2 linked regions of the Danio rerio genome follow. The protein of the gene in region 1 interacts with the protein of each later gene in a pairwise test. Links are inferred from orthologs where the notes say so. Each region holds a gene or a part of one and is shown in the gene's direction. Other genes may lie near its edges.

Region 1 (4,543 bases):
TACAATTCTTCAGAAAATAGAAAAAAAAGGACTGGATCCCTAATTTTCTCACATTTCGCAGAGTTCCCAGAAGTGGTATATTTAATTCTTTCCAAATGTGGAGGTAAGTCCAAGAAACCAATCAGAAAAAGAAGCCTAACATTTTTCTTCCAGAAACAAGAGACTTTTTTTTTTGCTGTGATCATGCCATACTGAACTGGTAACTGTACATTTCGGTTGAGAGTCTTCAGAAAATCTGAGCAGCCAAAAATTGCTACCATTGGGGCAGAGAGTAAAACACAAAGGTAAACTTTAGCAAAGAACTGAAATATTTCTTCAAAGTGATTTTTGCCGTGAATTTAGAGCTCAAAATAAACAATTACATCACGCTGTACACTGAATAATTATGAAAACTTGCAGTTAATCTTACCGTCTCTCCACAATTCCTTGTCGTCACTGTGACTGGCTGACGCAAACAATGAGAAAATGCTACATTTGCCTGATTAGAACAAATAGGTTTTTGATTGAGGCAAGTTTGTGTTTTGGTGTTCTGTCAAGGCTCTGTAAATTATAGAGACATTCAAAAGACAAATCCACTACACAAACTACCAGAACATGCAGATGTCGCTATAAAAACTGACATCATTTAGTTATTTCTTGCTTTAATCAGTAGAATCTGTATTACCTGATAAGAGATGGATCTGACTGTCTTCATAATGTGGGCGTTGATAGCAAATCTGTGTTTTTAAAACTTTGTAAATTATCTGTTGACATTCTTTATTGCTGTCATTTACAATCAGTGCTGAACTACAGTAATTAATAGACCCATTGCAATTACTTATGTATTATTATCAATGTTGATGCTAATGTAAACAAATATTCAAGTTTAACCATGAATATTAGGTCTAATAACAAATCTGTGTGTTTCACACTTTGTAAATTATCAGTTGACAGTCTTTACTGCTGTCATTTACAATCAATGCTGAACCATATTAATTAATGTTCTTATTACAATAACACATGTATTATTATCAATGTTGATATTAATGTAAACAAATATTTATGTTTAACCATGAATATTAATCTGTGATATACTTAACTGGTTTAGTTCAAGTATTTTCTAGCAATCTATAAAGTTAGATTAACAAACAAGCTGTTATTATTAGATTGAAACAAGAAAGAAGCCATGTAAATAAATCACTTTCCCAGCCGCACTTTCTTTGACGAAAATGGAAATAAGTATGTAAAGTAGTGTCATCTTTCGCTTGGCTTGTTCCCATTGTTTGACCGGTACCACTGCACACAGCGAGGGGTGATCGGATAATTTATAAAAACTCCGTTTACGAGCAATGACTGATACAGTTGCGATTTATGGCGTATCCCTAATATCGATGTGTGTTCAGGAGTCAACCGCCGTTCCTGCGCATTAAATTTGTATTATATCTTGTACAAACTGGTATTTTGACACCCCTCTTTGTTCTGGAAATAGTACGCGCCATTTTGTCTCTCTCTCTCTTTTCTTGCCACATCGTCCGCTGCTCAGCTGTGTGTACATTATACACACAAACTGCTGTCAAACCTTCTAGTGTGACGACCCGGGGATAGAATATGATATTATTTCCGTTTATACTCCGGGGTAATGGCGGTTATATAAAATGACACGTTTTTCAAACTGGAGTCGGACGGTGGGATTTAACTGATGTCCTGTCATGTCGGCGTCTTCACAGAAGAGCGAATGAAACGTAATCGGGAACGCGCGGGTGATGGACAAAACACGCGTCTTCATCTCTTCTGACGAGGACGAGCATCTCGACATCAAATTCGAGTTTTGTTTGCTGCTGTAAATCTGCCTAAAGAATGACCTCAGTGACATAATTAAGGACGTTTAATATTACAAGACAGAGGGTTGAATGGAATGAATTAAAGGCCTTATCTCATCTGTGATAAACAACCTGACTTAAAATTATAGTATCTTTAAATCAATAAATAGTAGTACATTTTAAAACCATAGATGTCTTCCTTTTCATTGGTGGACATTAAGGAAGAATTGAAAAGAAGGAACTTTACATGCCATGAGATTTTATTTCACTTTCACTCATGGTTTAAATTTGAAACAATCTTTAGTTTGTTATTCAATTGAATATTTATGATGTTGGACTCAAAGAGTAAGGACGTGTGTCGGATTTGTGCAAGGGAGCTGTATGGTAACCAGCGGCGATGGATCTTTCACCCAACTGCCAAGCTGAGTCTGCAGGTGCTGCTTTCCTATGCTTTGGGCAGAGAAATGACCCGGGATGGCCGAGGAGAGTTCGCCTGCAGCAAGTGTGCCTTCATGCTGGACAGAATGTACCGATTTGACACTGTGATCGCCAGGGTGGAGGCCTTATCCCTGGAGCGGATGCAGAAGCTCTTGTTGGAGAAAGACAGGCTCAGGCAATGCATCAGTGGACTGTACCGCAAAAACAACACTGATGAATTGGGAGTGGATGGAGGTGCCACAGACGCTACTGTGGTGGACTTTGCCAGGTTGGCCGAAGCTGAATACAGTGCCCTCCTGCAGGAAGATCTCACATACTCTGTCTATGAGTCTTGGGCTGAGCAGTGCCCTCAAGAGCAGATTCAAGACCACCAATGCCCTCTTCACCATGCAGATGCCGCTTCAGGTCCACGTCCCAGGAAGTGTAAAGGCTGCGCTGCATTGCGAGTGACCGATTCAGATTATGAGGCTGTCTGCAAGGTTCCCAGAAAAGTAGGTCGGAGCACTTCCTGTGGGCCCTCCACACGGTACTCTGGTAGTGTTCAGGACAACACTGAAGAGACTGTCCCATCCGCTCCTCCACCAGAACCCATCGAGAACAACCAATCATGTGAACTAAAGCCAGTCGGAGTGAGTCCTGCCTCCTCTGTGGAGTCTTTGGACACTGCTGTAGATGTTACCCAAGAATCTTATCTAAAGCTCCCACTTCTAGAGTCTGAGGAGGAACAATCTGTTGTCAGAAGGCCCGAGTCCAAACCTGGTTCTGTGTGTGGCCTTGATGTGGCCCTAAGCCTGCTTAAAAGCTGTGAATATCACCCTCTCCAGAGCCAGAGAGGAAGCCGGATCCCTGTGCTCCTCAAAACTAATACTACACCCATGGAAAGCCCTTACCCTCTGCTGCAAGTGCCTCACATTGAGATGGAGTGTCCACTTTTCCCCCAGCTTCCAGATGTGCCTTCCAGCATTCAGCAGGAGCTTCAGCTGGAGCTGGCAGAAATGGAAGACCAGTGGTTGGATGATTATGTGCAGTGCAAGCCATCAGGCCTTCCGAAGGTACATAAAAGAACCAGAGGATTGTCAGAAAAACGTTCATTACTGAGGAAAGGGAGGAATCATTAATGGTTGTTTGAAACAAATTTCTGCGGACTACATGAAGAATTAGGGAAGATGAATTTATAGAGCACAAATTAGATGAGAGGATGAAAAACTCCCCCGGGCACTTTTCTGTCCCAGAGCTCTTCAGTTCTCTGACTGCTTTTGATTACTAGGTTACTCATCATCCTCTTAGCAACTCTTTCATTGCAGCTGATGTTGTTAGCAACAGTGCATCATTCTAAAAGCTAATTCCAAAAGGATCCTTATTTTTTTGCTTGTCTAATGAATACATGCGAGACAGTATATGCACAAGTTTGAGGTCAGTTAGGTATGCTTTTAACTACATATATATCTTTTTTTAGCTAGGACATGTTAAATTAATCAAAGGTGACTGTCAAGACAATTATAAGGTTACAAAACATTTGTTAACAACAACAAAAAAAAAAACAGAGTTTTGGCTCTGTCACACTTTATAGTCTAGAACATACAGTTGAGGTCAGAATTATTAGCCCCCTGTTAATTTTTTTTCCCCAATTTCTGTTTAACAGAGAGCAGATTTTTTTTTCAACACATTTCTAGACATAATAGTTTTAATACCTCATTTCTAACAACTGATTTATTTTGTCTTCGCCATGATGACAGTAAATAATATTTCACTAGATATATTTCAAGACTAGTATTCACCTTAAAGAGCAATTTAAAGGTTTAACTAGGTTAATTAGGCAGGATAGAATAATTAGGCAAATCGTTATATAACGATTGTTTATTCTGTCGACATAAAAAAAGACTTACACACACACACACACACACACACACACACACACACACACACACACACACACATATATATATATATATATATATATATATATATATATATATATATATATATATATATATATATATATATATATATATATATATTTGCTTTTAAAAAGCTAAAAACTGCTTTTATTTTAGCTGAAATAAAACAAATAAGACTTTCTCCAGAAGAAAAAAGTATTGTCAGAAATACTGTGAAAACTTTACATAATTTGGGAAATATTTAAAATAAGAGAAAAAAAATAAATACAACTTATACACATACACATCTTTTTCAGCTTAATTTAACCCATCAAAAGGCAAATTCTGTTCAAATGAGCCCATGTCATGACAGATAAAGAGACAGGTAGAGCGAGTAATCTGACCCATAGTGCTCACAGGGTGTATTGT
Region 2 (4,358 bases), on another chromosome or scaffold:
TGTTGAAGGAGCAGTATCAACAGATATCTAGCAGACAGTCTACTAATACTCAATTGGACCATCAAAATAAAGTGCTACCCAAATCATCTTTAAAAGCCTTCGGACATAAAAAATGATGTTCTTTCTTGGTGTATTTGTGACCTTTGTAAATAAATAGAATAACAGTTGTTTCATGATTTTGTGACATAATGATGTGCATGACATGTTAACCTTATTATTGAATATTTTATTTTATTTTAAAGAATTTATTAAGGTTATGCTAAGTCTCAAAGCTAAATCTTAGAAAAGGCGACCAACAAATCTATAGTTTTAGTTCTCATTTATACCAGGGGATGGCGCCACTGTTATAAGAACATGAGCGTGACTTCTGTAGTGGTGTAGTGAATTTTCACTTTGTCCATGAAACCAAATAGACTTTTATATAGTTAACACAGCCCTCAGTCAATCTAATATGAAATAGATGAAATATGTATATGGGAACACTTAAACACTGGAATACTTACTAATAGCATGAAACTTCCACAATCAGTTTTGTAGATATGGAGCAGAAGTTCTCCAGATGAAGGATTTGCTCTGCAGACATTCTTTCAATGTCAAAGGAAAGGTAGAATAATTCATATCTGCACAAAAAAAAAAAAAAAAACATATATATATATATATATATATATATATATATATATATATATATATATATATATATATATATATATATATATATATATATATATATATATTATTGTTGTTGTTATTATTATTTTTATTATTATTTTATTATTATTATTATTTTAATACCACATTAGTATTAAGTAAACTAATAACTGTAAAACTAAATATTTTAAGTATATTTTAGTTGAAGAGTCATGTAAAATTTATAATCATATTTAATCAAATAAATTAACTACATTTGATTACAAATATATAAAGACAAATACATAAATATATAAGTAAAAATGAAAACCAATTAATAATGTAATATAACAGAGACTAAAAGTAACAGAAAATACAATAAATATATCTAAACTTTTTCTTAACATGCAAGACAATATTCAGGGAGCTGTGATTTTATGCAGATGTGAAAACTGTCAACTCCTTTAAATAATAAATATTATGAATGTACGGTTCTTGTTGGTCTTATGCTGTAAATGAGGAATTAATTCCGTATAAAATGTTTTTTTATTTAAAAATGTTTCATTTTGGGGACCCCTTGTGCGCTTACCGAGGCCCCATAGTGGGACCCGGTCCCGACGGTTGAACACCTCTGCCCTGTCCAACCTCAACAAGCAGACAGCCACTCTCAACCGCAATCTTTCCTTCTTTGAACAGTGTGTGTCGAAGTCAACCTCGCCTTCTTTTGATTGGCTGTATTCCTCATTCCGCTTGAATGGAGTGCGTCATGATTGGCCACAGCCTGATTGACGTCATCCTGCGAGAGGAGGTTTACTCTGGGTTTTTTTCTGTCACTGACACATGTAGAGCACAAGCGACAAGCAGCGGCGAGACATCAGCGCGCGAGAGAGGACAGTTACAAACACAAGCGCTCTCTTCATCTATGGAAATTACCGAAGACCTTGCCGACAGCTCCATCAACAAACCCGCCGCCGAGCTTTTCAGTGATAATAAGAGCATCTGAGAAAAAAGGTGACGGCAACAGTGGAAATATAATCTGAAAACTCCATTTGCTTGACTCTTTCGCAGCAGCGAGAAGTGTTCATCCACGCGCTGCTCCGTCTGTGAGTTTGTTGGACTGTGCGCGTTATTTTTTATATATTTTCTACAGAGAAAACAGACTGCTGTACATTTCTCACCACCATTCAACCATTACATTTCAAAGAGGTAAGTGCACTTCTCTTCAACTAACCGTATTTTGCTTTATGAATGGTAATATTTCGTAGTTTGACGAGACACGTTTGTTACGGAGCGACAGAATTGATGTTGCAGAAAAACACTACACACGAAAGCATAAAAGATTACAGTTACTTAATGACTAGATTTTATGTATTGTGCTTGTGTGCAAATTGTGTTGCATGTCACGCACTTATACCGTAATAATGTACGTTAGTGAATTAAACATGAGCGATGCGCGTTGTTTCATAAGAAGACCACATAGGTTATTTAGACGTAATCTTGGAAATTGCTGGCATTTCGAGTTTAATATCTTATTAGTGCATCTTAAGTGCGCGCGTGCTGTACAGATGGTCAACAAACCATAACACAAGTGCAATTCTGTCCATGTTGCATTGTGCATTCTGGCAGGAGCAGCTGTATTTAGTCTCCAGCACCGCGATCTGTATTACTGGCCATGGGCTGCTGATCTGTTTTATATTTCTGCACATCCCCTCTCTTAAATTGCCTGTCCGTGTAATTACTTGAGTTTGCCCATTTGACTTAAAAGCCACCCCCTCCCTCTCTTCAAATCTCCCCTCTTCCCTCTTCCAGGGAATGAAACTTGACGATGGTCCGATCTTATTTATCTGGGGGAGTCACTTTCGGTCTCTGATTCATCTCCCTTTAGATTTAATCAGCACTAAGGTATTGCTTGTCCCTAAGAGCCTCCACTAATGGGGTTACTGAATGCCTCTCTCTCTCTCTTTCTCTCTCAGTGCAATGTTTTCTACCCCCCGCCTCTCTCTTCTCCTCTAATTACCTTTCAACAAAGATTTGGCTTACAGCCTTTCACGAATATATCTTAAATTTTAATCTTTCCCACTTCGGTCCAGCAGCCCTCCTTATGAAACCTGGGAAACATTGCACACACACAGTACTGATGGATCAACAGAGCAAAGCACAGAACTGCAATCGTAAATGAGGGTTTGTGGTTAATGTGATTTCTGTCAGAGGCAGATATTTCTGTAGGCCGGCATTAACTGATTTCTTGCATATGCAGAATGATCCAACATAGTAGGGGTAATTTCACGCAGCAGTGACCAGTCCCCAAAGCGAATGCTGCTGAATGTTCTTCATGATGTTGGCTGGAAATCCGTCATCTGATAACCTTAGTGAAAGCAATTGGAATATGTCGACCTCTGAATGGGTCGTACAACTTTAAGGCTTCCTCAATTAACTTCTCCAGTTCTGGCAACAGTAGCATTTGGATTCCTCTCTCTCTTTCTCTCTCTCTCATGAAGGTTCAGGAAAATGTACTTTTAAAGCAATGCAGACAACCTAACAAAAGCCAGTGCTTCTAATTGTTCCAGTGACTTTAATGTTATCAGTGAACAGACATTTATCACAAATGGACCAAAGGAGCTGACTTCAGCACTTAGATAAAGATCAAGGACAGCCTGCCACTTTAAACAATTCTCAGACTTGCTTGAAGGCATTATATGCATTTAAATTATTTCAAAAGAGCTTTTAGGAAGCGTGCCTCCCAAAACATTCAGTGTTTTAGGTCACTGTTCAGGCTCCAGGTGTTTTAGATATTTCTAAGACAAAACTTCTGTCAGAAGTTGAGGAAACTTAGGTGTGCTTGCTTTGTGAGATGTGGATTTAAGTAATGCTGAATGCTTTTATAGTTACTTTTCTTTCTTTTTTTAACTGTGTGCAAATATATATATATATATATATATATATATATATATATATATATATATATATATATATATATATATATACTTTTGAAGTCAAAATTATTAGCCCTCCTGTTTATTTTTCCCCAATTTCTGTTTAAGTAGAGGATTTTTTCAACACATTTCTAAACATTTGTTTAGAAGTTTGTTCTGTAGATTTTTAAAGAAAAAAATAGCTTAAAGGAGCTAATAATATTGACCTTAAAATAAAAAAAAAATAAAAATCAAAAACTGCTTTCATTCTAGCTGAAATAAAACAAATAAGACTTTCTCCAAAAGAAAAAAAATATTATCAGACACACTGTGAAAATTTCCTTGCTCTGTTAAACATCATTTAGGAAAATAAATAAATAAATAAATAAAATAGGGGCTACTAATTTTAATTTCAACTGTTTGTCATTTGTTGAAAGGGCTTTTGATTTGTATTTAGCTACAAAACTAGAATATAAAATAGTACTCTTGCACACGCATTTAAAAACTGCTTAACTCTTGACTTACTGCTCCAGTGTTTCTCCCTGTCTCTTTATGTTTCTGCAGACACAATGGTGAACCCTGGAGGAAGTGCCCAGCCCCCACCTGTTGGAGCGGGATCTCTGTCGTGGAAGCGCTGCGCGGGCTGTGGGGGAAAGATTGCTGATCGGTTTCTCCTCTATGCCATGGACAGCTATTGGCACAGCCGCTGTCTGAAATGTTCCTGCTGCCAGGCCCAGCTTGGAGAGATCGGCACATCCTGCTACACCAAGAGTGGCATGATCCTATGTAGAAACGACTACATCAGGTTAGACACATCCA

What was found.
Region 2: the proteins of pde4dip (region 1) and lmo4b interact in binary tests that used the Homo sapiens proteins (3 or more experiments, as listed by UniProt). The two-hybrid records come from large-scale screens. The link is inferred for Danio rerio from reciprocal best matches to the Homo sapiens genes PDE4DIP and LMO4.

The regions. Positions count from the first base shown.
Region 1 is NC_133195.1:37,868,449-37,872,991, forward strand, and holds the start of pde4dip (myomegalin), read left to right. Parts: upstream 1-1,491; 5' UTR 1,492-2,125; coding exon 2,126-3,289; intron 3,290-4,543. UniProt on the Homo sapiens protein: Functions as an anchor sequestering components of the cAMP-dependent pathway to Golgi and/or centrosomes.
Region 2 is NC_133181.1:28,424,000-28,428,357, reverse strand, and holds the start of lmo4b (LIM domain transcription factor LMO4b), read left to right. Parts: upstream 1-1,462; 5' UTR 1,463-1,833; intron 1,834-4,103; 5' UTR 4,104-4,108; coding exon 4,109-4,344; intron 4,345-4,358. UniProt on the Homo sapiens protein: Transcription cofactor. Plays a role in establishing motor neuron identity, in concert with MNX1, acting, at least in part, to disrupt LDB1-LHX3 complexes thereby negatively modulating interneuron genes in motor neurons.